7 linked regions of the Xenopus tropicalis genome follow. The protein of the gene in region 6 purifies or fractionates together with the protein of the main gene of each other region. This does not show direct contact. Links are inferred from orthologs where the notes say so. Each region holds a gene or a part of one and is shown on either strand. Other genes may lie near its edges.

The links.
Region 1: the proteins of skp1 (region 6) and fbxo9 purify together in Homo sapiens (co-immunoprecipitation; 9 studies listed by BioGRID and IntAct, with this or other methods). This does not show direct contact. The link is inferred for Xenopus tropicalis from reciprocal best matches to the Homo sapiens genes SKP1 and FBXO9.
Region 2: the proteins of skp1 (region 6) and mtus1 purify together in Homo sapiens (affinity purification with mass spectrometry; 3 studies listed by BioGRID and IntAct, with this or other methods). This does not show direct contact. The link is inferred for Xenopus tropicalis from reciprocal best matches to the Homo sapiens genes SKP1 and MTUS1.
Region 3: the proteins of skp1 (region 6) and yaf2 purify together in Homo sapiens (affinity purification with mass spectrometry; 3 studies listed by BioGRID and IntAct, with this or other methods). This does not show direct contact. The link is inferred for Xenopus tropicalis from reciprocal best matches to the Homo sapiens genes SKP1 and YAF2.
Region 4: the proteins of skp1 (region 6) and fbxo38 purify together in Homo sapiens (affinity purification with mass spectrometry; 6 studies listed by BioGRID and IntAct, with this or other methods). This does not show direct contact. The link is inferred for Xenopus tropicalis from reciprocal best matches to the Homo sapiens genes SKP1 and FBXO38.
Region 5: the proteins of skp1 (region 6) and fbxo36 purify together in Homo sapiens (affinity purification with mass spectrometry; 3 studies listed by BioGRID and IntAct, with this or other methods). This does not show direct contact. The link is inferred for Xenopus tropicalis from reciprocal best matches to the Homo sapiens genes SKP1 and FBXO36.
Region 7: the proteins of skp1 (region 6) and cacybp purify together in Homo sapiens (affinity purification with western blotting; 6 studies listed by BioGRID, with this or other methods). This does not show direct contact. The link is inferred for Xenopus tropicalis from reciprocal best matches to the Homo sapiens genes SKP1 and CACYBP.

The regions. Positions count from the first base shown.
Region 1 is NC_030681.2:96,847,157-96,851,513, forward strand, and holds part of fbxo9 (F-box only protein 9), read right to left. Parts: intron 3,474-4,357; coding exon 3,396-3,473; intron 3,234-3,395; coding exon 3,075-3,233; intron 2,160-3,074; coding exon 2,102-2,159; intron 778-2,101; coding exon 684-777; intron 1-683.
Region 2 is NC_030677.2:42,487,926-42,492,282, forward strand, and holds part of mtus1 (microtubule-associated tumor suppressor 1), read right to left. Parts: intron 3,674-4,357; coding exon 3,557-3,673; intron 2,544-3,556; coding exon 2,446-2,543; intron 884-2,445; coding exon 667-883; 3' UTR 1-666. UniProt on the Homo sapiens protein: Cooperates with AGTR2 to inhibit ERK2 activation and cell proliferation. May be required for AGTR2 cell surface expression. Together with PTPN6, induces UBE2V2 expression upon angiotensin-II stimulation.
Region 3 is NC_030679.2:64,862,269-64,867,057, reverse strand, and holds the start of yaf2 (YY1-associated factor 2), read right to left. Parts: upstream 3,423-4,789; 5' UTR 3,328-3,422; coding exon 3,302-3,327; intron 3,131-3,301; coding exon 3,005-3,130; intron 1-3,004. UniProt on the Homo sapiens protein: Binds to MYC and inhibits MYC-mediated transactivation. Also binds to MYCN and enhances MYCN-dependent transcriptional activation. Increases calpain 2-mediated proteolysis of YY1 in vitro.
Region 4 is NC_030679.2:44,521,004-44,525,360, forward strand, and holds part of fbxo38 (F-box only protein 38), read right to left. Parts: intron 4,192-4,357; coding exon of another isoform or gene 4,031-4,191; intron 2,985-4,030; coding exon 2,882-2,984; intron 1,822-2,881; coding exon 1,655-1,821; intron 1-1,654. UniProt on the Homo sapiens protein: Substrate recognition component of a SCF (SKP1-CUL1-F-box protein) E3 ubiquitin-protein ligase complex which mediates the ubiquitination and subsequent proteasomal degradation of PDCD1/PD-1, thereby regulating T-cells-mediated immunity.
Region 5 is NC_030681.2:129,211,201-129,215,557, reverse strand, and holds part of fbxo36 (F-box only protein 36), read right to left. Parts: intron 3,487-4,357; exon of another isoform or gene 3,343-3,486; intron 2,937-3,342; coding exon 2,828-2,936; intron 1-2,827. UniProt on the Homo sapiens protein: Substrate-recognition component of the SCF (SKP1-CUL1-F-box protein)-type E3 ubiquitin ligase complex.
Region 6 is NC_030679.2:26,567,194-26,572,102, reverse strand, and holds the start of skp1 (S-phase kinase-associated protein 1), read right to left. Parts: upstream 3,217-4,909; 5' UTR 3,215-3,216; coding exon 3,118-3,214; intron 2,387-3,117; coding exon 2,313-2,386; intron 1,658-2,312; coding exon 1,514-1,657; intron 298-1,513; coding exon 157-297; intron 46-156; coding exon 10-45; 3' UTR 1-9. UniProt on the Homo sapiens protein: Essential component of the SCF (SKP1-CUL1-F-box protein) ubiquitin ligase complex, which mediates the ubiquitination of proteins involved in cell cycle progression, signal transduction and transcription.
Region 7 is NC_030680.2:98,121,371-98,125,727, reverse strand, and holds the end of cacybp (calcyclin-binding protein), read right to left. Parts: intron 3,804-4,357; coding exon 3,709-3,803; intron 1,332-3,708; coding exon 1,175-1,331; 3' UTR 706-1,174; downstream 1-705. UniProt on the Homo sapiens protein: May be involved in calcium-dependent ubiquitination and subsequent proteasomal degradation of target proteins. Probably serves as a molecular bridge in ubiquitin E3 complexes. Participates in the ubiquitin-mediated degradation of beta-catenin (CTNNB1).

The sequences.
Region 1 (4,357 bases), on a different chromosome or scaffold from region 6:
GGTATTATGCAACTTGGGTCTTTTTGAGAGTACACTGAGCAGGGGATACAATAGCTCATCTAAAAGCAGTTCTATTGTGTAGCATTGTTTCCTTCAAAAAGTTCAGAAGCAGGCACAATGGCTGACTACATACCAAAATTACAACTAGAAAAATACAGAGTGAATTATCTGCTATGTAAACAGTGTAATTTAGAAATTAAAAGTCTATCATAAAAATCATGACAGAATCCCAATAACCTTCAAAAGGTTGTCTTGATTTACAAATGTACATCTTTTGATTTTAAGTTTTTTTTACACATACAACTTTGCTGAAGTTAGTAAATTGCATGGCAATCTTTAGGGGGTTAGTTGATGACTGCCTCTACAGAAAAAAATGGGTGGGACGATACTAGGGACATATTCTGTGACATGGTAAACTGTTATAAGGTTGTTATATCTCTGAGCTTGTACCACTAGCCAGAAAATAAAAGCTAAATAAGGAATTCATTGAATCCAGGATCTGGAATTCCGCCTTTTTGCAGCAGGATTTGGATTCGGCCAAATCAAAGTGTCTGGCTGAAGTGAAATAGAATCCTTAAAATCACGAGGTTTTTGTCAAGTAAAATTACATTTATTTCTGGAAACTAAATTTTATTCATTTAGAATTCAAAAACTGTAATGTTTTATTCAACCTTGGTACATACAAGTTTTTCGTATCACCATCAGGAGACCAGGTATAGTTAATTTTGAATTCAATGTCTGGCACAAGCTGCATTGCTTGACGGTAAAACTTGATAGCTGTAAAAATATCAAAAAGGGTAAAAGATTTTAGGATTGCACAAACAGAAGTCTCAAATATGAGTAACTAAAAATAAAGTTAAGAAAACCAACTTAGAATACAGGCCTAAGTTCTGTTGCTGACCAGACACACTTGATTCCATATTTGTAGTGTCAGACAATACTGATATTTGTGTTACATAGTTCAGTTGGGTTGAAAAAAGACCAAAGTCCATCAAGTTCAACCCCTCCAAACAAACCCTAGTGCATACACAAACACACTTATACTGACCTATCTATATACAGGTATAGAACCGGTTATCCAGAATGCTTGGGACCTGGGGGATTCCGGATAAGGGGGCCTTTCTGTAATTTGGATCTCCATACCTTAAGTCTACTAAAAAATAATTTACACATTACATAAACCCAATAGAATTGTTTTGCCTCCAATAAGGATCAATTATATGTTAGTTGGGATCAAGTACACGGTACTGTTTTATTATAACAGAGAATAAGGAAATCATGTTTAAATGAGTGATTTTATTAAAATTGAGTTTATGCGGAGATGGTCTTCCCATAATTTGGAATAATGGGTTTCAAGATAGTGGATCCTTTACCTGTACTCAGGCCTCAACAGGACCTTTCTCAAGGATGCAGTATTTTTTTTGTTTATAATAATATTGGATGTGCACCCCGTGATATACATACTTTTTGCATTAGAGTGCAGACACTTCAAGGGCTGATTATATATATATATATATATATATATATATATATATATATATATATATATATATATATTATATATATATATATATATATATATATATATATATATATATATATTATATATTTACCAGTATCTATATTAATTGTAAATTTTTGTATCACAATAGCCTATGATATTATGCTTAGGAAATCATCCCAGCAACTCTTAATACAATCTGCCATCACATCATCACCAGGCAGGGAATTCCACAACCTCACTGTGAATAACTACCTACTCTGCTTTAAACTAAGGGTTGGTTTCTGGTGTGTCAATCATTTTTACCACTTTTATGGGGAAAAAAAAAAGAACACCTCCTATCTGTCTATAATGCCTTCTAATGTAAAGAATAATCTGGTCCCCTTGCAAACATCTTTTTTCAGAGAAAACCACAACCATAACATGCCTTCATAGTTTAAATCTTTCGTCCCCTTTAACAGTTTAGTTTGCAGAACTGCAAGGCTAATAGTTAAGACATTTAAAAAAAAAAAATCTTAGACTAAGCCCAGCTATAACTCTCTTAGGTTTATTTAAAGTGAACTACCCGATTAAGATAAGATGTAAAAAAGTAGCCAGTACCTTCATAAAGAGCTCCATTTTGTTCCTCTTCTGCTGCCTTAAGAAACAGTTCTCTTGCCTGATTAGGTTAACAAATAAAAAAACATTAATTTAAAGCTAAAGTCATAATCACAAAGGAATGAATTTTTTAGGACAGAAATTAGAAAACACATTTGCAGACAGCATTACAGCAATAGGGTAAGGGAGGGGGTAAATGCCAGTAAATTATCTACTTCACAAGGATATCACAAGTAGCTTTATTTCCGCCTTAGCTCAGTTTTTATGATTAAAATAATAGGCAAAAAGTATGTTCAGCACAAGCCCTATTAAATGAACTTATGTTGAACAAGGAAGTCTACTGTCCCTAATGTTTCCCTCCTTGGTTTTGCAGCTGAGGTGCATTATATTTAACGTGTTCTAAATAATTTGATATGAAGCACTTGGAACGCCATTGCAAAATGCCTATTTCTGCCTATAACTGCTTCCCATAGCAAACTAAAGGAAAGGCCATGCAGGATGCACATGGGGCAGTGGAAAAAAACGTTTGCTCAGGAATGCTTAGGTGAGCACTTCTAAGTGGAGATCACTTTTTAACTGCTGTGCTTCAGGCACAGTTTTTCCAATAGTTGTGAAAGACAGAGAAGGGCATATTTACCAATACTGGTTTCTGTTTGAATGCATGTATATGTGCTCACATCGCCCCATGTGACATTAGCATAAAAAAGGGTTAATGCATAGTCACTGTTTTGTGACTTGTGGCAATACTCAAGTGTCACAAGCAGAGAGTACACAAATGTCAGTTCATAGATGCAAAGGCAAAGGTGGAGCTAACAGACTCTGCTGTGACTATGCAGAAAGGGTCCTTGTGTGACAGGAGAAAGGAGGAGATTGGAAAAAGTTTCTTCGGTTTATCCTGCCTCTACTGAGGAGCACCTTAACCCCAGCTGCCCTAAACTGACAGGCAGGACAGTCCAGTAAACTATATTAAATTTACCTTCGCCTCTTTAGCCAATTCCTGCTTTGCTTTGGTTTCTGATACTTTTCCCACCGGCCCTCTAGCTGCTGCATTACAAGGCCGATTTTCAAGCCCTCCAGAGCTCAATCCTGGTGTGAGTTCAGACATCCAACGAGCTCTAAACATCTGCAGCTCTTCCTAAAAGACAGCATATTCTGCATGAAGTACCTGGAAAGTCTTATTTAAGCATAATTTGTACACTGTATACAGATTACTTGCTCTACCTTTAACTTAAAAATGTTTCAGAAATGAATAATGCAGAGCAGAATAGCAAAGTTCACTAACTCCATCATCATTTACCTGAAGATTTGTTTCTCCAGGTCTCCCATTTTCATTAGACATCAGGCTGTCAGTATAAGAATCCTCATCACCTTCCGCCTGTAAAAAAAAAAAAATCAAATGAATAAAAACTAATCAGATAAAACCCAAACAAAACACATTTCTCACCTAGATTTATCCACAGTATAATATTTAAACTCCTCTGACTGCCACCCATTGCAAAAAATGTAGGTTGGTTGGTTGGGATCCATTTAAACAACCTAATTACTACACTAGACATAATTTCACATTCAAAAATTTGATTTGCTGCATGGGAATCTCATAATAACAAGGAAATTTGCATGAATCAATCTAACATTCTACTAGAATCAAATACAGAAGGCAACAAGCCGGTAGTAAACCAAAATTAACTTAAATTAACAAAGCAGTTTAACTACCTCCATAGAGAGATCTAATTAGCCACTATACCATATGTTTAAGTGTGATATCCAAGAAATTTGTCAGCGGCCATAAAAATATTTTTGATGGCAACCTCAAACTTAAGTAAGTTAACCCCGCTTAAAATGAACACAGTGCTCTTCCCAGTCCCTTTAAGCTGGGTGCCTAGCCCAGCATTTTTTGTAAGCTGCCCATCTCTGCTCCAGCTTCAAGGTTTGCCCCAACCCTATCCAGGTCAGTTTTACAGAAGCTGATATGATTGTGAACTTTTGAAAATTCAGCATGCGATACAGTTGCAGAAGCACACAGTACAACTAGAGCTGCTGTAGAAAGTGTTATATTATATCAGAAATACAGGACTTTGAGGCTCAATTTAATTTTTCCACAAAAAGTTACCTTTTCATTCCACACATGGTAAAAAAAAATTCTGTGGAAAACATAAACTGAGCAATTTTGCAATCTACATTTTTTCTTCTTTTTCACTTCTGAGATATTAGCTGTTTATTATAGTCAATTTTATGACTTTTGAAGAATTGTTCTGCGAC
Region 2 (4,357 bases), on a different chromosome or scaffold from region 6:
TGGTTAGGAATTTGATGTGAGCAGGAAGTCTCTCTGCTAAATTCATGAAGGCAAAGTGAGGAAGGGTAAGAAACCCCTTGGAATATTGTTCTAGTGTTAAAAGGAGTCATTCATAGACACTGAAGTGGCGACCAACAGGAATGGCAGTCTTACCTTGTTCTAAGTTTCATTTAAAATGGGAGTTCTATCCATCAGAAATAACTTTATTGTCCTTTAGAACAAAGAAGGCAGCATGAAGCACACATCATAAAACATCCGTTACATTGACATCACACGCACCCTATCGTAAAGGGGGAAAAAACAATACTACAGGTGAAAATCTATATAAAGGTTGTGATCTTTTATCTACAAACCCTGAGCTTTTTCCCCTATATACTCGCTGTAGGTGAAAAAAGGCAAAATGCAAGAACAGATGTATCTTGCTAGGTAAGTGCTTTGTGCAACAAAGTTTTTTTTGTTATTTTTTTTCTTTTGTTTTTAAGTATAAATGTCTTTTCTTTAAAGGAGGAACATCGCCCCCTTTATTTCCAGTAACCATTACCCATATCCCAAATTCCAGTCATCATAACGTAGCTAATATAGCCTTGACTTCAATGGTTAGTGTCCAGATATATCCCAGAACTCTCCTGAAATGTCTGCTTGAAGTGTTGAAGCATTGGAAAAGTGTCATCTGGGGGACACTGTTGGACTTGAGAAAGTTCCTGAATTCCGTGAAGAATGGAAGGGAATTCCAGGTGAAGATGGAGACAGTTTTTTGGGGCTGCATAGGTCACCGTTGTGGAGTTTCCACAGAAGCTCTTCATTTTCCATTGACAGACGTTTGTTGGCTTTGGATTCTTTATCCAGTGATCGCTGCAGCACCTCCTGCTCAGTAGAAAGTTGCCTGTGGATGTATCAGAAGATCAGTGAGTTCCTTGTAGCAATATTTAGACATATAGTGCTATCTTTACCTTGCCCAGGCATACAGAGGAAGTTAAACAGAGCTGCTTCTATATCAATTTTTCGTTACAGCTGTCTTGTTTAAAAAGTACAGCTATCCTAAAGCAGGACTGGCAATGTGATGCTCTTCTGTTGGGCTCTAAGTGGAGTAACCCATGCCGTAACCTATGAAGTTAGACAAAGGGCCATATTTATATTAAGGCACCCAAGGGCCTGTTCTAGGGCAGCAGGTTTTGGGGGATGGCCCTCGGATGCATTTATATTAGTTTTTAAATTTTACATCACTACCGCAACGTAGGTGGTGACATAACGCGCATGATGTAGGGGTGTATTAGGGTCCAGTGGCAAGGGTGGCATTGGACCCAAATACAGCACATGTTTGATAAATATGCCTGTCTAAATATACAACAAACATTTCAATACATTGACTTTTCCCTTTGAGGGTACCTTTTTAATAGTTATGCTATGCCTTTTATGCCCAACTCCACCCCCCCCCCCCCATGCCTTTTGAGATAGTGTAGAACCTTAAGCTTAAGAAATTATCTTTCAGAGCTTCTGTTTTGGCTTGCTGGCCCTAACCCTTTAGAACAGTACAGCAATGTCAGTAGAGAGAGAGAGAGTGACTGCATGCTGAAATGTGGAAAGAGTCTCTTGGTCTGCTACCCAAGTTTCCCAAAATCAAATTTCTTAATAGGGCCTACTCCTTTCCATTGGGCAGTCTGTATTTTGAAGGGGTCTTGGCCATGTGCCATTTAATGTCTTTAAGCAGTGTTTGTATACCGACAACTTCCTAAGTGACATAATACATGTTTTGTGGAGGAGACTCTTTCCTCTCCAAATATAAAATTACCCACACTTGATAGCCTTTTGGTTATTGCGGAAAACCATCCTATCAATTCACATGCTGGACTGTTATCAACATCTATGATACAAATGACAAAATGCTATTTAAATGACCTGGATGCAATTCCATGCTTCCTACTTTTTGGGGAATCAATTGGGGGGGGGGGGGGGCTTTAGTACAATAATGCTCCTCACAGAAAGCAGGGTCCATACAGGATGGAGTTCCAGACATGCATAACACTTGACTGGCTTGATCAAAGCCATAAACTTAACCCTTCCGTATTCCTGTGGGATGCATTAGCTCAGTATGAGATGGGGGCCAATCTCACAAAATCAGTTATCAGCCTCATCAATAATCTTAAATGGTTAAATAAAAGCAAATCCCACCAACATCCAGTGGAAAGCCTTCCCATTACAGTAGAAGCAAACTGAGGACCAACTTCACAGGTATACCTTTGTAGATATCCCTTGTACATTCTCATGAAGAGCAAACTTTTTACTGTCTGTAAAAAGACGTGCTAGTTTGGTGGCCGCTGAGTGTACCTACTGACACAGAGTACATATTCACTTCTCAGTAATGTGCCCTATGAATTTCTCTTTGACATAAACCCAGAAAACAAAGAGGAATGGAAGCATTTGTTTATATTAGGAGAATAAGTTTACCGTGACAAAGCTACATGATTCGCCATTCGAGCTTTCAGATCCTCATTCTCTTGCTGGCATTTGTTCAGTTTTTCCACAAGGGTTGTATTGGTTTCCACCTTGACAAAAGAATAATCTATATTTAATGTCCACATTGAAAAGAAGCAATAGAAAAATATCTAGGTTTCACTATCAGAAATGATAATTGTGAATGCGTGAGCATGGATATCCTCAGTCATGTCAGAAATATACTTTTTTTTTTATACTGGGTGAGAAAAAACAAACAGTATTAATATAACATGTAACATTAATGTAACAATCTTCTAACACTAGGTACTGTATGTGGCCAAACAAATGCTTACACCTAGCTGTATTGCAAAAGAACGGAACATTTTGTAGATTGTAAGCTCTTTTGGGCAGGGCCCTCTTCACCTCTATCGGTTATTGATTGCTTTATATGTTACTCTGTATGTCCAATGTATGTAACCCACTTATTGTACAGCGCTGCGGAATATGTTGGAGCTTTATAAATAAATGTTAATGTAATGTAAAACATTAATCTTAAAACAGAATGCAGAACAGCATGTAGTAGAACCTTACACTGGAATGAGATGGTTTAAATGCAACATGAAACTCATATCAGAAGTTCCCAGCGAGAATAAAAAGCAAGCTAAGCAGCATTAGCAGAGTATGCTCCTAATGTAATGCACAAGCAGCCAATCACTGGAAGCCTACTAGAAAGATGTATCAGACACACACAAATTGGTTATTTCCTACCAACAGTGCTTGTTCCCATAACCATCTAATATTGCCACATAAAAGAATGCTATTAAAGGCATTAACTTTTTCTCTTTTATGAGAGCAAAAAAAACCTATAATTTTTAAGGTTTATAGACCATGAATATTTTACCTTTGTTTTTGCAATTATTTAGCCAGGAAAAACACTTGGTCTCCTCCATTCTCCCTTTGAAGTTTACCGAGATGAGGTGACCCAAACCCTGGGACCAGAGCCAGTTCTAATTGATAAGGTTTTTGAGGGCATTCAGCCAAATGTATGTGATGCAGGTGACTTGGTTAAACCACAAAGGCTGCTATTATTCCATATTCCTAAGCCAAATGTTGGAAAGCTTACCAGCTTCTCGATTTGCATGAGCTTCTTATCTTGTTGGTGTAACTTCTCATTTTTAATTTCTAACACTGCTTTTAGGCTCTCCAGCTCCTGCTCCAGGTACATGACCTGAGGATTCTTCTGTAAGGGAAGGAATAGTTCAGACACATCAATAACAATGCTAAACATGTCAAGCAGAGATTCAGTGCAAGCCCTGTACTGCTCCCGGCAGTAGGGTGTATGCTGGAATGCCCTCAGCACTGCAGTAATGTAATTAGATGATCGAGTGCCCCTGACAGCACAGTCTGAGCTCACACACTATGTATGAGTCACACTATGCGAGAGTTAAATCAACACCACAATTAACCTAATTTTACAATAATTGTAAATATATATATTAAAAAAATGAATTAGCACTCAGATCAGAACTAATCACAATTAAAAAGCTATAATGTAAAATAAACACTACTAATACAAATAATTTCTGCCCCTAGCTTGGTACAGGAGAGAAGGAACATGAAAAAGCTTAAAAAATGCACATCCCTCAGGGGTTAGAAATAATCAGCCACTTATTTATATGCCTCGCCCCCAACATGAAAGAATAATCTGCTGGCAGTGTTCCATAACCCACTGAACACCAAATGTTATTTCCCTTTCATTTCTATCTGGGTTGTATTAAACATTTTGCATTATTTGTATACATCATGCAATCGCAGTATATAGCATAAAATCAAAATATGTTTAACAAAATATTAGTGTTCTCGGGCACATATACTGCTGCCTGTTGATTGCTCACTGTTGGGGCACTATTAGTGACTGAAACAC
Region 3 (4,789 bases), about 38 Mb from region 6:
ACGGGTGGGCGATATCGGGGAGCTAGAAGTTAAAAAAAAATAAATAATCCGATCGTTTGGTTCAGGGACCCCCGATCCGACTGAATCTTTTAACCTGGCCGATCGATATCTGGCCAATTTCAGGCCAGATATCGTTCAGCCAGTCCGCTCGTTTCTGCCCCTACAGGGGCAGATAAGCTGCCGAGTCGGTCCAAGGGACCGATATCGGCCCATGTATGGGGGCCTTTAGTAGCAGAAAAATTACAAACTGTTTAGAATACAATTACTTTAGTTCTTACACAGGAGGATAATCAGGAATCACTTTCAACAGACAATCCAATGATCCTACTGGATTTTAGTTGCTCTATCTGGATTGAAAACTACTACATTTCATTGTGTGCACTAAATATATTCACAGAATATTATGGGTTAAATGGAGGTGAATATGGACTGATCCTCCTCTTCCTGTGGGTATTTAAACACTTGTTTGTATTTGTACTAATAGGCTTAATAAAGGGCTGGATTGAAGCCCGAAACGTTGCCTTTGGAACTTGAGTAAAGATTCACATTTTTCAAAACAACTGGAGTGCTGCTGTTTTCATCATTTTTGAAAACTACTCCTGCTGTCACTTCTTAGCAAGCGGATAGCCAAACTAAATAATGGGGCAGTTGGTAGGTCAGCCAGTGTATAGGCACTGACACTGAAACAATGGAGCTTAATTTAAAAGTTTAAAACTATCAGATGCATTTCAACAATAAGGACACCTTTTTCTGAGAAACCAATAAATGTAACTGCCCTTTCCTTAATATCCCTTTTGCCAAAAGGGATATTTTGCCTTTTGACAAAGTCTATTTTTACCATCAGATAACAGCCCTAGCCACAGGGGAGATACCTCTGGCTTAAAGGAACAGTAACACCAAAAAATGCAAGAGCTTTAAAGTAATAAAAATATAATGCACTGTTGCCCTGCACTGGTAAAACTGGTGTGTTTGCTACAGTAACACTACTATAATTTATATAGTAAGCTGCTGTGTAGCCACGGGGGCAGCCATTCAAGCTGGAAAAAAGGCACAGGTTACATAGCAGATAACAGATAAAACACTATTGTATTCTACAGAACTTATCTGTTATCTGCTATGTGCTGGTGCCTTTTCTCCTTTGAATGGCTGCCCCCATGGCTACATAGCAGCTTATTTATATAAATTATAGTAGACTTTCTGAAGTAAACACACAACTTTTACCAGTGCAGGGCAGCAGCACATTATATTTTGGCTACTTTTATTCATTTTTTGGTGTTACTGTTCCTTTAAAGGAAAAGCATACCCCAGAACAATGTAGGTCTCTTTAAAAAAAAAAAAACCTAAGAGATTATATATATATATATATATATATATATATATATATATATAGTGAACCCAGGGTGGCACTCTGCTTCAGCTCTTAGCTCCGGTGCAAGGTAAATGATTTAAATATCCAAAAAAGACCAGCAGCACCGAGTTATATTCCAAAATCAATCAATTGTGGCTGTTTATGCGTTTTTAATACACAATTGTTTTTGGAATATAACTCGGTGTTGCTGGTCTTTTTTGGATATATAAATAAACTTAAACACAACCAGCACCAAGGGTCTTATAGTTCAAACAATCTCAAGTGTATTGCATGTATAACAGACACTTTCGAAAAAAGTCCGAAAAGGGACTGAAACGTTGGTTATACATGCAATACACTTGAGATTGTTTGAACTATAAGACCCTTGGTGCTGGTTGTGTTTTATTTTGTATTCTGTGCACAAGGGTGGCTATCTAATTGCATTTTGGAGTGAGGTGCTGTCGTGAGGACTTCTTATATATTTATTAAAAAAAACAGCTAACATATAAAACTCTACTTTATCTAAATAAACCATTTTTAGAAAAATAACCTTTTTTAGTAGTATGTGTCATTCCAAAATAGAAAACTGGAATTTTAAGTACTAAGGGCTACCACCACACCAGATTATATGATTTTCATGATTCATGGGGCACACATACATCATACCAGCCAATTAACAGAAGTTCTGTCTTTTACTACCACACTACTTCCTGTTAAAGTTAGAGATGCAATATTTTTGGCCAGGTGATCTCTGAGGGAGCACACAGACCATCACAAAACGGCAGCTTAAGGTAAAAGGGGTAATATTTACTGATATATATGCTCCAGATTGGAAATATTCTTAAATAGGCCACTTAAATACCCAACAAATACTTTTCATCATATTATTCTGAAGGTATAGTTTTCCTTGTGTCAGGACAACTGAAAGTGATGCTGTTTTTTATTATGTGGTGTTATGTAGGAAAAGCATCTTGTTGCCGTTTCACTAAATATTTTTGTCTTTGCTGGAGAACTAAAGTAAAAATATAATTTTAATCTCTAACCTGCTGCCCTGCACTGGTGTTTGTCTTCATTAGAAAGCACACTGTCCCAGACTACTTGACAGTTGCCTCCATTTTCTTGCCTGTTTCCCAGCATCCGCTGCAGCTCCCTGGAAAGGGGTGATTACTGTACTGTATATGCACCCAACATAATTGGCACAGAGGATTGGGACTACACACTCTGCAGTCCAGTGCGTTTTCCAAAGACAGGGGTAGGGGCAGGGGTAACAGCATAGCCATTTGAATGACTTTAGTTCTCCTGTAATATGTCACAATTACAGGAGAACTAAAGTGATTCTGTAATATATCACAATTACTATACTTGCAGGGATTCGTTAACCATTTGTGCGCTGGTGTTTTGCTTGCAATGTGTTCACATCCGAGCTGTGTGTTTATGTTCCGTGCAGAAGGTGTGCTTGTTTGTTTCAGACAAACGGATGTGTTGTTATTGTGTAGCAGCAGCAGCAATGTTACTACAGGATAGGAAGTGCGGCATGTGAGGCAAGTGCGGTATTGTGAGAATTGTGAGGCAAGTGCGGTATTGTGGGGACTGGCTAAGAAGACAATGTCAGTAAGTGAGGAGGCTGTGCTGTTATTGTGTGGCGGGCTCGCTCACCGGGTAGAGGTTCCCTTGCGTACATCGCACATCAGGCACTTGAAGGCCTCGGCGCTGTTCTTAAAAGTGCACACGCTACAGTCCCAGTATCCTTCGTCTGATGAAGGCTTCGGCTGCCTCTTCGGCCTGGGGGAAGAGGAAATTGTTAGAGACAAGGGCATACACGCTGACAAGGCGGCCTGTTCCCCTAGCCCCGGCCTCGGGCGCTTCTAACACAGTGAAAAGGAGATTGCCTAGGCAATCCTCGCAGCCTCTCACCAGCTTCTACTTCCTTTTTTGCTTTAGCCGTGCTCTTACCTGGTCGGACTCTTCTTGTCTCCCATGCTGCTTCAGAGGAAGCTGAGCGCAGGCCGAGCGGGGAGAGAGCCCGGGCTATGAGGCGGGAGTGGGCGCCTACACCGACCGCGATCAACCGCAGCCAGCTGTCCACCGCAACACGTGACCTGGCGCGACCAATAACAGGCCGACAAAGCAATACCAGAGCCGCTTGGAAAACTAAAGCGACTTTGCTTGATGTATGTGCGGAGAAGAGGCCGTAAGGGGCTGCCTTATGGTCGGCATTACTATGGAAAAGAAAGCGCACATGAAAAAGTCCGAGCATAAAGGAAATCTGCCCGGGGATACAAGGAAATGCGCAGGGCAAATGTAGGCGCACGTAGCGTGTGATGGAGGAAGCGCTGGCAAACACCGCTGGTTGTCTCATAATCAACACAAACGACTGTAGCTGAAAGGACCGTGGCTCTTCTTCTGTCTCTACCTCAGTAATGGAGTTAAAGAATACTGAGCCAAAGCAATGCAAGGCTAAGGCAGCCGGGCCTCTCAGCTAAACAGCAAACTTAGAGGAGTTGTGTATCCGCATGTTTAACACAGACGCATTCAACGGGGCTTGTACTCAACATACTTTTCCCAGTTGTTTTAATTAAGCGATATTGTTGCCATGTATTACACAATAGGGCAATAACTAAACTAAAAGCAGTTTCACTTTACAACTTCCTGTGGTTCTCCTAAGCATCTGGTGAGGGTGGTGAATAAGTCAGTAAAAGAGAAAAATGCAGCTTTAAATCACTAGTCCCCCAATCAGAAAGCCTCACAGAAACTGTAGCTATTTGATTATGGGTGGGGGTTGTTTATACAATGCTCAATAGCTATAAACTTATTACAGGGGGAAGGAACTAAAGGTAAAATCATAATTATGATATGTGCCTAATAACAGAAAAATAAATATATGCTTTCAAGGGACATTATACAACATTGCTAAAAAGAACTTAAAATGTTTTGGGAGACATCAGAATAATAATGAGAAAAGGAATAATGGTAAGGTCTTAATAGGGGACCTGTCACCTTAAGAAATAATTCCAAATTCTTTTGTCTTATTTGAGCAAAATAAACTTTACATTTTCTTTCATTCATTCTTACAATTTACAGTCACAAGCACAGGCACAATTTTGTGGACATTTTTATTAAGGGAAACTTTGTATCACCTTTAAAATCTTGTGTATGTGCCAGAATTGGGGACCTGATGCCAATGCACAGACACAATTATAGACAGTTATTTGAAAGGGAAAATGTGAGGAGGGCATTGACATTGGAATTGGCATTGATTTGGGAGTACAGAATGGAAAGTAAAAGTGATTTTGTCAGATTATATATTTTGTAAAATACCATCACTTTAATAACTGTAATGGCGCTTCTGCAATATACCAATCATCTCTGTGCATGATAGGTTTTAAAGTTATTTGTAAATGTTATTGCAATTGAAATATTTGTTTGTTGAACTTTTTCTTC
Region 4 (4,357 bases), about 18 Mb from region 6:
AGTTTGCAAAGGAAGAATGGTCCAAAATTCCCAGTGAGAGGTGTAAAAAGCTTATTGATGGTTATAGGAAGCGACTGATTTCAGTTATTTTTTACAAAGGGTGTGCAACCAAATATTAAGTTAAGGGTGCCAATAATTTTGTCCAGCCCATTATTGGAGTTTTGTGTGACATTATGTCCAATTTGCTTTATTTTCCTCCCTTTTTTGTTCTGTTGCAATACACAAAAAGGGAAAAGGGAATAAACATGTGTATAGCAAAACATGTGTTACGGAAATACTTTTCTGTGAGAAATACTTTAATTTCTGGAAAAATTTCAGGGATGCCAACAATTTTGGCCATGATTGTATGTGTCCGGCAGCAAAGTACCAGCCTTCTGCCAAAGAGCCGAGGATAGAAAAGCACAATTCTTTCAAGACAATCGCAAAAAGCAATGCATATTAACATTCAACATCCTCCATTTAATCAATGCTTGGAATTTCATAGATCACTATATTGTGCAGGTGTCACAACAACTGTATGTTAGCATTATCCTTTATTACACACATAATTTTAAACTCAAAGTAAAACAATTATGTTCAGTTTAGGAGTAATCAATACAAATCTTTCATTCTTGGCAATCCAGGCATTATCTTCCTTTTCTGCTTCTATGAATTTATCATTCTAATGTGTCCCTGAGACTTCGCACCCACACATCATTTACATTAAAAAAAAAACACTTATATAGAAAACAGCAAATGGATATTGAATCAATCATCTGTACTATTACCTTCTAAAGAAACCTTCCTAGTCAAACAAACACTGAGAATGTGGCAAGCCACCTGTTACTGAATCTTAACACAAGTCTGCCAGGCTTTAGCCAGTTTGCCAGGCTTCAGGATGTATGCGTTACTGATGAATACTGAAAAGGAGAGTTCACCTTTAAATTAACTTTTATTATGATGTATTGGTATGTATGTATCTATGTTTATTGGTATGTATCAAAATATGGAATTTTAAAGCAGATGTTATGTTTATTAGCTGTGGTGTTTATTTTTTTTCTCTTGTTATACAAATCTTCAGCTTGGAATTTAGTCTATTACCTAGTTGCCAGGGTTCCACTTACAATAGCAACCAGGCATTATTCTGAAAGACAACCTAGAAGATGCATAGTTACATAAAACAAATTAAATAAAAAGAAAATGTAACCAAATGCTTTAGTACAAATTTACTTTGCTGATAATTTCGTAACACTGGCCCTCTAGCTGGTGAGTAACTGGCTAGGGTGGATAAATACCAGACACGTGGCAACCTTAAGTCTAGCTGCAAATCTTTTTACTGCCTAAATCACATTAAAATTATTATTTTAAGGCAAATTGCCCCTTGATGTTTAAACTGCTTAAAGGCTTTTTGGCTTTGTTGTAATGTTGGTGAAAACCATATGGCTTTTATCCTGGTGCTTATGAAAACATTTGTGAATCTGTTAATCTGTGTTTAAATGGTTATCATTTTGCAACACAGTCACCAGATTCACCTCACAACAGCATTTTTAGACACCCAAAAGTGAGCTATTATTTTCTCTCCAAACTATTTATGAAGCCTACAAGATGCCCTCCTAGTTCAGTTGTTGTAAGAATAACCAAACAATACTGTTTTACAGTCTGTTAAGTCACCTACCTGGTGCATGGGCCGCAGATAAATGATACGGTTCCTCTCAGGGGGCATCCGGAGAATCTGATCCAATACTTGCTCCATATTCAGCTTTTTACATTGTGCATAATCAAACCGATTTACAATGTGAGCATTTTCTACCTTCAAGTGCTTCAATACACGACATCGTGTAGCTGAAAAACCAAACCTAGATATTAAAACAAGGGCATTTACAGCTCCGATAGCAGCACGCGCCGCTCTAAGGCTCAATTTTGCTTCTCACACTGCTACCCCAGGCCTCTGTACATACTGTTATGCTCCCAAAGGCTTTTATAAACAACATATAAGCCAGAAAGGGTTACTTCATTAAAAATAGTTTCCTTTAGTACTATATCATAGCTGACAAAGTGCTGGTTTAAACTATGATTTGGTGATGCAAAGGCTTACCAGCAGCGCACACTAGGTCAAACTGTGTTCAGCTGAGCACCTGGTACTTAGTTACCCACAACTGAATACTATTTCAGAGTAATAGCCAGGTGGTTATGGCTCTAATCAGTGTCCTGAATGTAACTTCAATGGGAATATACCACACCAGGGAAGAAAATGTAGTGGCTATTGAAGGTAAATAATCGATCCGCACAACTTAACCAGACATTTAAAGGGGACCTGTCACCCAAACATAAAAAGCTGTAAAATAAAAGCCCTTTTAAAATTAAACAAGAAACCCACATTCTTTTTATTTTATTAAAACATCCATACCTGTTATAGATTCATTAAGAAAAGTCAGCTGTCAATTATATATTGCCTGCCCTGCCCCTTATGGCACAGCAATTACATTCACTTTCATTTCTGCACTTCCTTAATGTCACTCCACTAATCAAATCCCCCTCACTGACTATTACCCCATCCTGTGTCTGTGCATCAGGTTTTCATTTCTGGCATGGGATAATGCAAAGCATCCTCAGTTTCCTCAAAATGGCGCCTGCCTTTATGCTCTAGTAGTGGATTCCATAAGACTGACAAGATTTACATAACTTATATAGAGTACAATGTAAATAAAGCTTATTTTCCCAACTAAATAGAACTTGGAATTATTTCACAGTCAAAGATCCCCTTTAAAAAAATTGCCCAACGTGGCGCCTTAGCCATGCAACTGTATTTAGTTTTAGGTGTAGTTCTTACACTATCACTTTGATTTGATAAATAATCTAAGCAAAGAAATAGGTCAAAATATCAGAATAAAGATGGACTTACCATGGATAAACATCATTTTAGGACAGTCCTTAAGAACTAAATCTGTGATTCCACAGTTGGTTAGTGTAATGCCCACCAAATTTTTTGATTTGAGGTTCAGCACCTGAATAAGAAAATACATTATAAAAAGAAGTATTTATATTACTTGGAGATTGAGAAAACCTTATTTTGACATCACATAAAGCATAAACACAATAACATGTCAGTGTTTATCCCAATCAAAAAATGGTCCGATAGCCTATTTAAAGGAAAACTATACCCCCGGACAACAAAGGTCTCTATAAAACTATACTTTTGTAGTAGTATGTGCCATTGCGTACTCCTAAATGAAACGATTCACGGTGCACACAAACAAGCCGAGGCAAACATACATGCTAAACCTCATCAGCCAATTAACGGACTATCTTTTACCCCCACTTCTTCCTGTTACAGTTAGAGCTGCATTACTTCCTGTCAGGTGACCTCTAAAGGAGCACACAGACCATCACAAAATGGTGGCTCAAGGTAGAAGATGTCAAAGGTCACTTAATATGATATAAACTATCTGTTGGTTAAGTATTCATACTGGGTGTATAGGTTTCCTTTAAATAAAATAACATGGTGGTTCAATGCGATACACCTAAGTAAAAATTTAGCTGCATCTGTGGCTCAGACAGAGTGATAATGATGTATGAAAGCCAGCATTAATAAAAATATAGCATTCACTTTCAAAGTGGGGAACTCAGCAGCACCAACCATTCCACTGATACGAGTTAATTTTACTGCTATTCTCCTTTTAAACTATTTATATGGTCTACTTTGTATTTAAATCTATGCTCAGTAAACCACATGCAGAGGTTACGCAGCAGGGAGATCGTTATCTGTGTATTTAAATTAATCAATGTTAATAGTAGCAATCCTGCTGCTTTGTCTGCCAAGGTAATATGATCATGTTATTTACAGAGTTAAATTGATCAGTTGGTAGAATGGTTGACTATTTTATGTTTTTTGTTGCTTAGTTGCTTTGTGGATCAACAACTACACCAATTGTTATAAAGGTCCTGATAAAGGGGAACTGTCATTTTCATAAAAATATTCTAACTGTAGTGTGTTTTTATAAGTCTATTTCACGAGCAGACTTTTCCAATACTCTATTCTTTTGTAAGTTACCTCATCAACCTTTCATTTTTTTCCTGCTGCAAAAAAAAACTCAGTCTTGCTGTGAGTCCCAGAGCGTAAGCAGAAGCTACTGGTTGCACCATGTGAAAACTGTAAGGTTGATGGAGCATGATGCAATGAATGATTTTTCTGATTTCTCTGGTCTGTAGAAACTGTAAGAAAGAACTAGTTGTAAAGCAGATTTTTTTTAAACAACCACTGCAGTTTGCATTTGGTATAGTAACGACAGTTCCCACTTGAGGACAAATACTACTTATTGCTAACATAAATCTGCTTTTTTGGTTAACTAGTAAAATGTTTATGATGCATGCCCTTAAG
Region 5 (4,357 bases), on a different chromosome or scaffold from region 6:
AGCCCCAGCACTATCATACAGACTGTTAGAGACCACACAATCCACTAAGAAGTGCTCCTGACTCTCCTCCTCCCCACACTCCCAACTCACTGTGTGTAAAATACTCCATATTGCCCCTGACTAACAGTTTACCTCGCAGAGACAGCCAGGAGTTATCAAAGTACTTCCCCGGTAACCTTGTACCACTCAGATACCCGAAAACCTGCTGCTGAGTGTTGTTGAGACAATCTCTGTCAACGGGATCATGAAAAGACTTTACAGTATATCTTCTTCATTGGCACTGAGGCAACCTCCTCTGCCCCAATACCCCATCGCCTCAGCAGCTTAATACCCTGAGCAATGTGTGATGGGAAATATCTTTGCCTCATTTGAACCACCTTCACCCTACCGCCCTGTAACCAGCCTGTTAATAAAAGACAATGCCCAGGACTTGATACAACATTCCCACAGCATATTTGTTTTTTGGCAAACAAATTGTGGCTGTCAACCACACTCAGCCGACCTTAGTTTTTCTATAATCAGATACCATCTTATGCCAAATTAGCCTCATAATTGTCATATATTCTAAATATATTTAGTGGTGAGCAGAACTTTCGTTTCAGCTATTTGGTGGCAATGACAAACGTGCAACCCTTAGTGAAAATAAAGTAAGAGCGATACCAGAGAGTAAAGCACTGATCCGCTATAAAAATTATAATATGGGGGGAATAAATGTTGCTAAAACTTTACCCCCTGTTACAGTGTCATTAATTGTGTTATATTCTACATATTGCTGGCCCCCAACTTTATATTCATGTACAACCCACCATTCCATAGAGCTATGAGCTACATAAGAAGGCTGCAATAACATCCCCTCTGTAAGCTGTTTCTCATTAATGGCCGACTTGGAGAATGGGCTCTGCAGCTGCCAAAGAAAGAGCCACATTGACAACATACAATAAGCGCATTCTTAGCAATGGAAAAAGTACCGGCTGCCATAAACAGACATTTACCAAAGTAATGTACATATTTATTCTGTAGAAAGATCCTTAGAAAAGCTCCTGTGGCTACTGCACAGCAAGGGAATATATGCAAGCACTACATGGAGGCACACTGAATTGTGCATGTCCTGTATTGCCAAAGTATTGCATTGTAAATTGTGCATGCCCTGTATTGCAGCAGGTCCCTATGCTCTGTTTCAGGGTGCAGAGCCCTGTGTCTCCCCCCACAGATACAGTGCTTATTGCATTAGTCAGAGTTGTATTGGTGATGGGTGGGAGGCACTTGGGTGTCATTCAGATGAACACGTTAATGCGGCACAAGGCGAAAATCACACTTTGCCCTTCTCTAACACTTGCACCACAGGGAATAAAAAAATTACCCCTAGAGTCTTCCTAAAGTATGGAACTCCAGATATCTTGTTAATACAGTCAAGTATTTTGCTTTTCTTTGAATATTTTTATTTCAAGCATCACATCCTCGTATTGTTCTCTTTATCCTATTATACCCTGTGCTTGCTGGAGCCGGTGCTGCAATCAGTTTCTGGCACAGAGCTCACTGGGCATGGATCTAGGAAAGAAAGGGAATTGCTGTGACAATGGCACACATGGATCTAGGAAAATTGGTGCTGAGCTTTCAGAAAATATTTTCACTGCCATGTTGTCACTATATCTTTTCCAGAGACCAAACAACCAATGAGATTCCTGAGGAACAGAGCAGTGCAACCATGGGGAGACATACCTCTCTACACCTACACACCACACCCTAAGCAGTTAGGGAGGCAATGCTACATCAAGCATTTTAATTACATGTTTAGATTCTAATTTAGGATACAACATTACCTGAATATACAGCAGCAAAACGTCTCTCGCATTCAGTCATGCGAGTGTCATGTGACAAACACGGGAATCATTTATTGTTCTTAATTGTGTCAGTAGCCACATAAAGAGTAACTCATCCATCTGGTTTCCTTGTGTGCAACCAGAGCAACTTTGTCATGATGGGTTGAATCCTGGTAATATCAGCATTGAGTTACATGGCTACACCTTGCAGCTAATAACATGGGCTGGCTTCTTATGTAGTCTGGCCCACTCACAGTTTAGACTGTTACCCTAGCTGCTCCCCTAACATTCAGAGCCAAAGGCAATGACAATCGCAAGAAAGCCACTAATATGCATGATGACTCAACAGGTCTAAAGGGCTGATTTTTTGTGAAGGTCCAGTTACTCTGCTGTTTTTGCCTTGGGGGTCACTAGCTGCCATGGTGTCATCCCTTCTGGATAATACTGACACACATACATATCATTGCCTTGAACTGGGGTTCATCAGCCAACAGAGCTGACAGATGGCAAGCACCTTAACATTCCTAAGGAATTTGTTTGATCTTTATGGGCTAATAGTGGCCATGCACTATTAGATCTGTGTGTTTGCCGAGGTCGCTAAATGAGGGGATCTTTCTCCTAAGGTGGGCAATATTAGGCCACTTTTCTAAGGCCTGCATTACAATAAAGGAACTACAAGCCATCAGAGCAAGGAGCGCATGAACAAGCTGATGAATTTCGAAAATCAAACCTGCCCTGACACCTGGATGATTTTTGCCCAGATATCGGGTCGGGTAGGTCAGTCGGGAGGGCCCCATACAAGAGCAGATAAGCTATAAGCTACCAAGACAGTCTGAAGGACCCAAATTGGCAGATTAAATTGGCACTTATTAAACCTGTAGCCCTAACAGCTGAATTGCACAGGGGCAAAAGTGTCAGAGACACTAACTAGAAATCACTGCTGTGCATCCTAGCTCTAGAATGTACCCGCTGTATATATTTATATTATCACCATATCTCCTGCTTACCTTGCAGCGTTGGGTCATCCACGAAGTCCTGGTGCGACTCTTTAACCTCCCCTGGTCTAGCATCACGAAATTCACTTCTAAGAGATATTTTCCAGTATCTCATAATGACCTGCAGAGAGGAATCAGATGGAATCGTTTCATTTGGTATCTCAGCACTACACTGCACACTTCTGTGTACCAAGCCTGATAGCAAGGGGAGCAGTCACATTGTTGTACAGATACGCATAATGACAAACCCCAATTTTAGGGCCAAAGAAACAAAAGTTTTTACATTTATAAAAATATAGCATGTTACCGGGGGCCTAGATTTGATTCCATGCAGGACCCCATCTGCAATGAGTTTGCATGTTCTCTCTATGCTTGCATGTATTTCTTTCAGGTATACTGGTTTCCTCCCACACTCTTAATACAGACAGGTTAATTGGCTCCTGATAAAACTGGCCATAGTGTATGTGAATTTAATAGGAATTTAGATGGTTAAGCCTCACTAGAATTGTCCCCAGTTTAAAGATTACCTTTTATTCATTAATTTCTGTTTTCTTAGGGCTGTCCATGGGAAGTGGGATAACAGTCCCTGAAGTTCCTTTCACTAATACCTGGCCATTACTTGTTCCCAGAGGAATTAGAAAGAAAATGTGTTTCCAGTATTTGTTTACATAGATTTCTATAAAAAACAAAGAAGGTAAATAAAAAAAAAAAAAAAAATAGGCCCAAAGTGTGAGTCGACAAATTACCAGCCCACTGAGAAGACCTCTTCATAAACAAACCCCCTTTAATCCACCAGCTGAAGCGTCTGTTAGACTTTGAGGCAAACAGGAGTTCATTATACAAGCCAGTTTGGCTGTCTGGCTCACAATACTGATATAACAACCAGGAAAAGAAAAGCAAATCTCACTGTTTATTTTGACATAGTAAAATTGTCTTTTTCCTGGAAATTTCTTAACATAACAATGCCAATGCAAGAATCTTGTACAACATTGCAAAGGGTTTGTCATCTCTATGGTTTATGGGGCTTACAGAGAAAACTAAAGCAAATTAATAAAGTGCTCAAAGTCAGAAATACGTTTCTCCCCGAGTTATAGTGTTCCACTTTACCATTCCTTTCCACTGCCTTTAATATTAAATTATCAAAGAACTACTGTGGGAGATCCCAGCCACAAAAAGGAGCTGGTGGCCATTGGATTCTCAGAGCATCAGATGATTTTTCCCATGTACACCTTTTAGCACACAACAAGTACATACATTTGCTTGGTCCACAGGTCAGCCTACCTTTAGAATTTTTCAGGGCCCTCATGAAGTGAAAGGATCCAAAGGATGTAAACAGAACCAATAAATAGAGTTGATGCAGTTCTTCGTGTCCCTATGCAACAGTTAACTCCTCACACAATGGTTTACCATCCTTCTGTGGCAACACCTCGACTAATTACACACTCATACTTATTTTAGTCAAGCAGGTGACCCATAAATGTTTCTTGAGGCAGTACAGGATTTGGTCTGAATTACAAACTTCCCATGGCTAAGGGTAAGAAT
Region 6 (4,909 bases):
TATGCAACTTCACTTTTCTTCACACCACTGATTCTCTTTGCGTACCTAAAAGGAAAATAGCATAAAAGAGGTTCATTAATAAATACTCTTGTTGGAGTGGAGATATTGGCTGACACACTTGTAAAAGGAAATAAACTTAAGCGTATAAATATATACCTGAGCTTCTTCCTCCTCAGTAAAGTCGTTTTTGATGTTGAAGGTCTTTCGAATTTCTTCTGGCGTTTTTCCTTTAATCATGTTTGCAACTGTCTTGCAGGTGACATCAAGCAATCCTTTGATATCCAAATAGTTGGCAGCCTGAAGATAAAAAAAAAAAAAAAAAAAAGCAAAATCAAACCAGCCCCCAATTTTTTTTTGACCAGCAAGAACTCAAACCCACCCCTGATTTGCTCACACTCCCTTGTATTTGATATGGTACCAATAGACTGCAGAAAAGCTTATGAATTGGCTTAGAAGCAATATATGTTTATGACAATGACACAAAAGTTATGCAGCTCAATCAGTGCCACCAAGAATGTAGCATCCTTTAGGAGGAACTGGACAAACTGGGAGACTGGCCTGCTAAGTGGCATTCCAAAATATGCAAGGAGCTGGGGTGACTTGTGGAAAATAAACTTAGCTTTAGCAAGCAATGCCAGTCAGCGGAAGGAAGAGCCAGCAAGGTATACAGACTCAGAGGGGAAGTACATATTCCCACTTTAGAAAACACTGGCAAAGGCCCCATCTAGAATATGCAGTGCAGTATTGGTCTCAAATCCTTAAATGGATATTAATGAAATAGTAGCTCTTTTTGGACTCGCTCTAAATTAATGAAGGGTATTTTATGAGGAAAAGTTATCATACGTGCTTTAAGTGGCGTATAAGCACTACATATGAATATGCAAGTGTAATTTATGTATATAGGATTGAGATGAAAAAAAAAAAAATAGTTTCAGCCATTTTCAGTTTGGAAGTTAAATCTATGCTGACTGAGGAATATATGGACATGTGTATGTAAATTTTTAAAAATCTTTTATGAATTAGTGTATAAATTTCTAGTAACTGTTGTGTTATGTGTTAACAAGTAAAATGGCAGCCACGTTTTAATGTATGAATAAAATTATGTGTGTTAAAACTATATTGCTCAGAAGCAACATGCAGATGCCATGTGGATGCCTTTATTGAAGCCACTAAGGACAAAATTATGCACAACGTTTCATATATGTGGGCTCACCCTTACCTCTCAAGTGCAGGAGAACAAGCACACTTTGTTGGAACATGTTAATGGCAAGGTTTTTAAATATCAACTCTCCTACCTCTTTCGGACAAAAACACAAATAATTACTGGCTGTGTTGTGTGTGCACTACCTTCAGGCTGTGTTGTGTGTGCAATACCTTCAGACTGTGTGGTACTTTAAGTTGCAGGTTCCCTTTAAGGTTATTAATACTACTAAGTACAAGTACTAGAAATACACTTATGTAATTCTAATGGGTTCTATAAAAGCTGTTGGGTTTTTTGGTGAGCATGCCTCACCAAAATCAGTTCAAATAGTGTTCCCTGATCCACTTTTAAAAACTCTTGGTCCCACACAGGGATATCATCTGTTCTCTTCTCTTTGTTTTCATCGTCTTCGGGTGGAGGGGGATCATCTTTATGATGTGTACACCACTGAATGACCTGATGAAAATAAAAGTACATAGGTATTTATCTTTATGATTTATACAACTGACTGCATTTGTTGGCCAGGTCCTGAATCCAAGACAATGTGGTACTGCTAAACTTAAGATATGTTCAATTTCATCATTTTGTTGTTTATATGTTAATATAATTCAAGCTAGTAAAAAAAAAAAAAAAAAAAAAAGTAAATCTTGTAACAACCTACACTTGAAGAGCTAAACCAAAAATAGGAGCAATGTCCTCTACTGCCTGAATTAGAGAGCAAGTGTTTCTAGGTCTGAAACAGTATACATCATAACTCAAGAATATGAAACCCCAAACAGCAGGATGAAGTTCCTAATAACCAATAGTTCAGTTTTATTTTTTTACTTGCCAATATGCCTTAAAACCCTGGCATTTATAAGTAGTTCTTCTTCTGGCAGTGATAAGCAAATATAAATAATGTGTGTGTGTGTGTGTGTGTAGGGGGGGGGGAGGCTGTTGCAACTTTTTAATTAACACAATTCTGAATCTGGTACAATTTTTTTGTCCTAATTACATTGCATTATATCCCTGCAGCAAACCAACACCTCTAAAAAAAAAAAAAACAATCTCTAATCTGCATCCAGTATTCTAGTATGGGTATACGTAAAACCACTACCTAAATAGCACTTACTTTTTTAAGGATTGCAGCATTAACATTGGGAAGTGGCACAGGGTCATCATCACCTTCATCATCCATACCCAGATCTGTTTAAAAACATTTAATTGATAACTGTGTCTTGCCAAAAAAATGTAAAAAAAAACCCAAGATAATTTAGACAGAAAGGCAATGTTCTAAAACTATAGTCAAATAAGAGATTTCTCAAGAATTTACACAAAATAAATTTAAACACAACAGAAATATTACAACCAGTTCCTCTGAGGACAATTTTTTTTCAGCAAGACTGCTACTTATTTGTTATATTGGGATCACTGCTGTTATGAGTAGTTTGAAACGCTGTGTACCTGTTATGTAGTGAACAGCACCAAAACTTTTTTTTTTTTTAATAAAAAGCCCTTATTCCATCATTTCCAAATCCTGGATTGTACAAACAATGTTTTCTAAAGTACCCTGTGTACCTGTCTCTTATCAGTGTAAAAGGAGCTACTACCTAAAAAGATAATCCTCCACAAACCCAAGAAATTTCCCAATTTGAAAGTGGATGACAAAATGATTGGAATTACCCCTGACATTTCAATTGCAAATGTCTGTTCACCCAGGTGCACTCAAAGGTCATGCAAATGCTACATAGAAGAAAAATTCCCAGCAATATTGTTTCTGTAAAGGGATTGCTTTTGGAGAGAATCCACTCAATTGCCCAATGTGCCTTTACACCAACACTTTCAAAGCTAGGAGAATAAAAACAAATGAAGACCTGCACACCAGAGGACAAAATTATAAAGAATACATATTCAAAGAATTTTTTTTTAAAAAGTACCTTCCAACATAGTTTTAATTGTTACTGACTGCTTTGCAATTTCAACATCCACTTCAAAAATCTCTCCATCAGAACTCTGCAGCTTTATAGAAGGCATCTGAAAAACAAAAACACATTAATCAACACAAACAGTACTGCTTAGTGAAGTTACTGCAAGCAAAACAGAAAGAAAATCAATTGGTACTTTCAATGAGAGATGATCAGGAAGGCAGCTGTGAAACTCAAGATGCTGCACTGAAGCACATTTAAGCATGGTGAGCAGGAGAGACATGGGAACAAAATGGCAGCAAGCACAGCAAGTGCACTGCAGGCCATTGTAGGCAAGTAGAATCACAGAGTGGCTAACATGGCAACCACCCCCCCAGTGACTATACCTTTCCTTCTGCTTTAATGAAATGCAAACATCATGTTTCATGCCCTGGTTGTCAGTAAGGCAGGGCCAATAAAAATAATCATCTATACAACAGCCCTGGTGCCTGGTTGCTTCAGTCTCTGCCCAAGACCCACACCAACTGTGCAATATACAGTGGTCTGGCACGGCCTAATGAGCAAAGGGAAGAAGCTGCAGCTAGTAGGAATAAGAAGGGGCCTGCCAACTGTTGCCAGCACCCTGCCCTCCACTACCAGGAAGAGAATAAGGAGCTAAAAGCTTTGGGTCTCATCCGGAATGTGCAATTACCGGTACTCTGCAATTTTCAGAGAGCTGTGCAGGAATTGGGAAAATGCACTAAATTCTAACAGCTGTCAACCTGGCACTGCTCCTTTAACAGCCGACTGCAAATGGCTGGACAGCTGGAGATGGATGAACCCTTGTTAACACTGGCCACCATTAGTGTGCACGCAGTACACAAAGGGAAAGTGTCTCTGGCATATATGATGTGGGAAAGACTTACTGAGCAGGTATAACTATGGAAGCAGAACAAAGTAATTACCAACAAAGGGTGTCATTTTACTGCTGCAGTATGACTTTGCCAATAGCAGCCAGGATAATGGCAATTGCCAAGCTCCAAATCTGCATTAGAGGCCATTTGCCCATCCTGCCCAGAAAAAGAATCTGTACATCAATAGTTGACATACAGCCAATTACAGAGAGGACATTTGCTATCCCTGAGCCATGCTTTTCACTCAGCCTCATTTTAAACAAAGGCTTTATGAATTAAAATAACAGAAGTTTGGCCTAGACAGCAACATACAGAGCAGAGTGACTAACAGCACAAGGCAATAGGAATTACCATATTCTGTTAAAAAGAGGACTGGTTATTAAATATCTTAGAGGGGACAGAGTGTACTTGAAATCTTAATTGTGTAGTTAAGCACATTTTTAATCTTACAGGTATGGGATCTAGATTAAGGAGACTCATTATCAAGAAAGCTTTTGGAAATGCCATTTTATTATTGTTTGACCAATTTCCTTTTGCTCTATAATAGTGGATATTTCAAAACGGTGACTGATCCCCTACAAGTTCCATGTGAGAGTCCACTGTGCCCAGGTAAACAAATATACTGTTTAATTTATTATAACAAATATAATGGTTTATAAGGAGTGGGTCCAGCCTACATGGACTTGTCAGACGAGAATGGCATCAAAGTGACAATGCAGTCTTTGCCATGTAGGATTTTCAACCCTGCCGAATATATATCTAATTTTGTTTGGGTATGGATGGGCTGGGTCAGCAGGTGTTAAGACAATAGTTGACTGAAAAGTTTTTCATATACTTTTTCAGGCACTCTACATATTGTAGCCTTCACCATTCCCAGCTACAGTCTGTTGATCTCAATGGTGGCCAATAAA
Region 7 (4,357 bases), on a different chromosome or scaffold from region 6:
TTGCAAACATAAGAAACTTTGTACTTTTTATTTTAGTACTTGTACCAAACATCTCCAAAATTATTGAAGGGTTACATATCCACTACCAATGAGTAAAAAGTGTCAAAACAATCTTCCATTTTTCACATCCCCTGATCCACATGAGGGAGAGAAAGAAAAGTTAGGATTCTTATAGAGAATTGCAGATAATTGAGGTAGAATTTTTAACATTTTAATATTGTAATTTGTTGAATTTATCACAAGTCATTCTCCCTTAAGATTGGTGAATGGCACATAAAGATGGAAACTAAACAGTGGCAGTGGGAAAGTATGGGGCAGAATTGTATGGTCTATCCTCCCTAGAGGGGATCTAAAGCCAAAAAATGAATTGATGTAAACTTTGCTTCTTTGAGCACTTCTGAAACTTACAAATCATTTAAGTGGTGAGAGTTCTGCCTCTTAAACTTATATAGTTATATCTAGTTTTTTTTTTTTAATGTTTTTAAGTTTAACCTTATTTGTCCTTTCACGATTTCTAATGTTTTAAAGCTCAACACTTTTGGGGATGTAGGGGTAGGGATTCCCATAAACATTCTTGATGCTTTCTTTCATTCTTAATGGTATGTACTAGTGCACCACTAATTTTCTTTGTCTGATCTAGAAAAGCTATACAGTGTACAAGTAAGGTACATTAGTTTGTAAAACAAAGACCCGCACACCTGTTTGAAATGGGTCTCTTTAATAAACAATTTGTAACCTGATATTTTAACAGATTTTCACATTTAACCTTTCAATGACAGCAGGCTGAGGCCAAATTTACTCTGCATATAAGTTCATGCAAAGTGAGCGGCGTCCCTGGTGCATAAATACACCTGTAGCTGTAAGCAGCCTCTTATGAGAGATGTATACATATTCCCTACGCATATGCCTGTTAAGTGTTAAAGACAGAAGGACAGACATTCAAAACTTTTACTAGGAAAGGAAGATAGAGGTATACAAATGAATGTTTCAGGCATATGAACCATGCAGTTTCTAATCTTAATTGGCATGAAATGCAACAGCAGCGAATTCCATGTCAGGAAAGCGAATTGTAAACAATAGACTTGTAAGAAGAGATAATTTCTCCAGGCATTAAAACGAGGACTGTTCCTGGACGTAGGCATCATTTAAGGCGTAAGCACTGAGAAGTCTATGTTCAGAATTCAGGATCGCCTTTCATTTGTTTTTCTCGTGATTCTACCCAAGCTTTATTAAGTGTTCTCTTCATGTCATCATCTCCATCATCATATATCTTCTTTAAGACATTCATTAATCCTGCACTTGGGTCTCCATCTGTGTCTAGTGCTGGTTTCCTAAAAAAAAAAAAAAAAGATTTAAATTATGTTACACTGAACTTAAAATACAAAAACATGACAATGAACACCAAATATAAAAAATAAGTGATCAAAATAATCTTCAAAATAACTTAGATCCATTGTACAATAAAAATCAGAGCTGTGGAGTTGGAAGCAAATTTGGGTAACTGGTTTTGGAGTCAGAAAAAAAATTGTAATGGAAAAAAATACAGTATGTTACAATATCCTATTTCACAGATAAGTCATAATACAGTACGTCTGTGCATAGTTGTTTCACTAGTGTGAAGTCCAGCTGAGCTATTATAACATTACTGTTTTAATTTTTTGTGTTTTGTTTAAACTTTAGGTTTAAGGAATGTTTGTAGTTTCTTTAATAAATAAAATAAAAAGCTACATTCAGATTTTAGTCTTCTACTGCCGAATGATATTGATCATACGCTTAAATGCAACTATCAAAAACTAATATTCAGTATGAAATTGTAGGATAAAGTCCTAAAAATAACAAATCGGAGGATGTTCTGCACATGAAATAGTTGGCAGACACAAATCGTGCAAAAGTGACTTCCTGCAAATGCACATAATACATGCGCAGATATTATCTGCCTGAAATTTTCTAACCTGTCCAACCACACACAGTCCAAAAATTGTATGAAACTATAGGGTTGATTTACTAAAGTGCGATAACGCTTATTGGATGGTTTTTTGCGTTAAAATTGACGGTCAAAAAAACGCGCATTATCGCATGCGTTAAGTTGCATATCGCGTGCGTTAAATAGTGCACAACCAAACGCGTTAATTTTACCGCATTGCATTAATTAGCGCGCAGAAATAATACTAATGCATGATTCACAAACACTTAGGGGCTGATTTACTTACCCACGAACGGGTCGAATGGAGTCCGATTGCGTTTTTTTCGTAATGATCGGTATTTTGCGATTTTTTTGTATGTTTTGCGATTTTTTCGGATTCTTTACGAATTTTTCGTTACCAATACGATTTTTGCGTAAAAACGCGAGTTTTCCTATCCATTACGAAAGTTGCGTAAAAAGTTGCGCATTTTTCGTAGCGTTAAAACTTACGCGAAAAGTTGCGCATTTTTCGTAGCGTTAAGTTTTAACGCTACGAAAAATGCGCAACTTTCCACGTAAGTTTTAACGCTACGAAAAATGCGCAACTTTTTACGCAACTTTCGTAATGGATACGAAAAACTCGCGTTTTTACGCAAAAATCGTATTGGTAACGAAAAATTCGTACAGAATCCGAAAAAATCGCAAAACATACGAAAAAGTCGCAAAATGTTCGTTTTCAAGTCGGAACTTTTCCAATTCGGGTCGGATTCGTGGGTTAGTAAATCAGCCCCTTAGGGGCAGATTTACTAATCCACAAATTCGAATCCCGAATGGGAAAAATTTGGATTGGAAATGAAAATTTAGTCACGATAATATCGTATTGGCGATCCGAAAGTCACAAAATTTACGCACCGAACCATTGTAAACAGCGGTAAAGCCTGTTTATTTCGCGCAAGCGTACGAAAAAGTTGTGCGGACGCCCGAAAAATTCGGCAAAAATATGCTCGGAGCGTTTGAATGAACGCTCCGAGCGTTCATGCTTTTGTAAATGTGCCCCTTAGACGCGCTAAATATCGCATTAGTCTATGGGAAAATTAACACCTACTTGGGGCAGGCGGTAATTATGTGTTGGCCCTAGAGTGATGCAGCCTCCAGTTTGCAGGGAAATGGTCATTTTCTAAAAAGTAGTTTTACGAAAGTAATGGCGTGTATGGCTAGCGTTTTTTCGCACGATGACAATTTGTGCGTGTTGCGTCAAATACCGCACAAAAATAGTCTTCGTGACTTAACGCAAACAGCATCACGTCTAAATTAACGCAAGTATCCTTTTAGTGAATCATGCGTTAAGACGCGACAAAATTTTTAACGCATGCTATAAATAGCGCTCGTTTTAACGCACCTTAGTCAGCCCTTATGTTTCTTAAAATTATTTTGGTGCATGTATAGCCAGCTTTATAGATTTATACCTAAACTTGAACAGCAACCTCAATTATGTTGGCAGTGACAAGCTTGGATGGCCAATAGGATAGTGAGGCAGCTTCCTAGCCAGTAGTTCTTTGGTTTGTTCCCAAAAGCAGACACCATTTTCATATAGCTTTAATTGCTGACCTTTCACAGAGATGAAAATGCCTTATATGTTATGTATTTTCCATGCTGATTGAAAGAACATGAGTATATTAAAAACAGAGTCGTCGGAGGTACCATCATTTGAGGAGTGCTAGTTGAAGGAAATTAGCTTCCAGCATGAACACGTGATAAAAACTGAATTTATCTGTAAACGATCCAAGAATCGTAAAGATACTTACTCTCTTTCCTTTGTTTGTTTCTCGACTTGTGTTAGGAATTCCCATTTATTCTCAGATTTCTTTCTGCACATTATCAGCACTGTGTCTGTCTTCACCTATATGAGAAGAATATTAAACAGTAGGAATTTTTTGAATGTATTCAGAACATATTTTGCATCCAATGAGATTACTGCACTGCAAGGCATTATGTAGGGACTCATTTTGCAGCTTCTGTATGCCCACAAGATGTGTTTGGGATTAAAACTGATTACAGGAGACTACAACACACACTTTCATATGAGCCACAAACTTGTATATACTTGGTGATATGCTTCAATGCACCAGATCAGATGTTGGCCTGATGGGTCTACAAAAGTGCTCAGGCCATACCAATGAAAATCCACAAAGGGGCTATTTTAAAAGCTTTTTTTTGAAAATGTACCTTTTTAGTTAGTGATAAGCCTAGTTTCTGGATGACAAATCTATTCTGTCATTAATTAGGTCTCCTCTCAATACCTAACCTTGAAACAGCCAATATAAATAATAGGGCACCCATACTTAAGCAGATAATGAGGGCATTAACCATCCCATGTGTGGGTGTGAAATAGTAAAAAATAGATAGGGGTCAAAACCAACTTCTACACCATAGCCTAGCCTATGGCCACAGCCC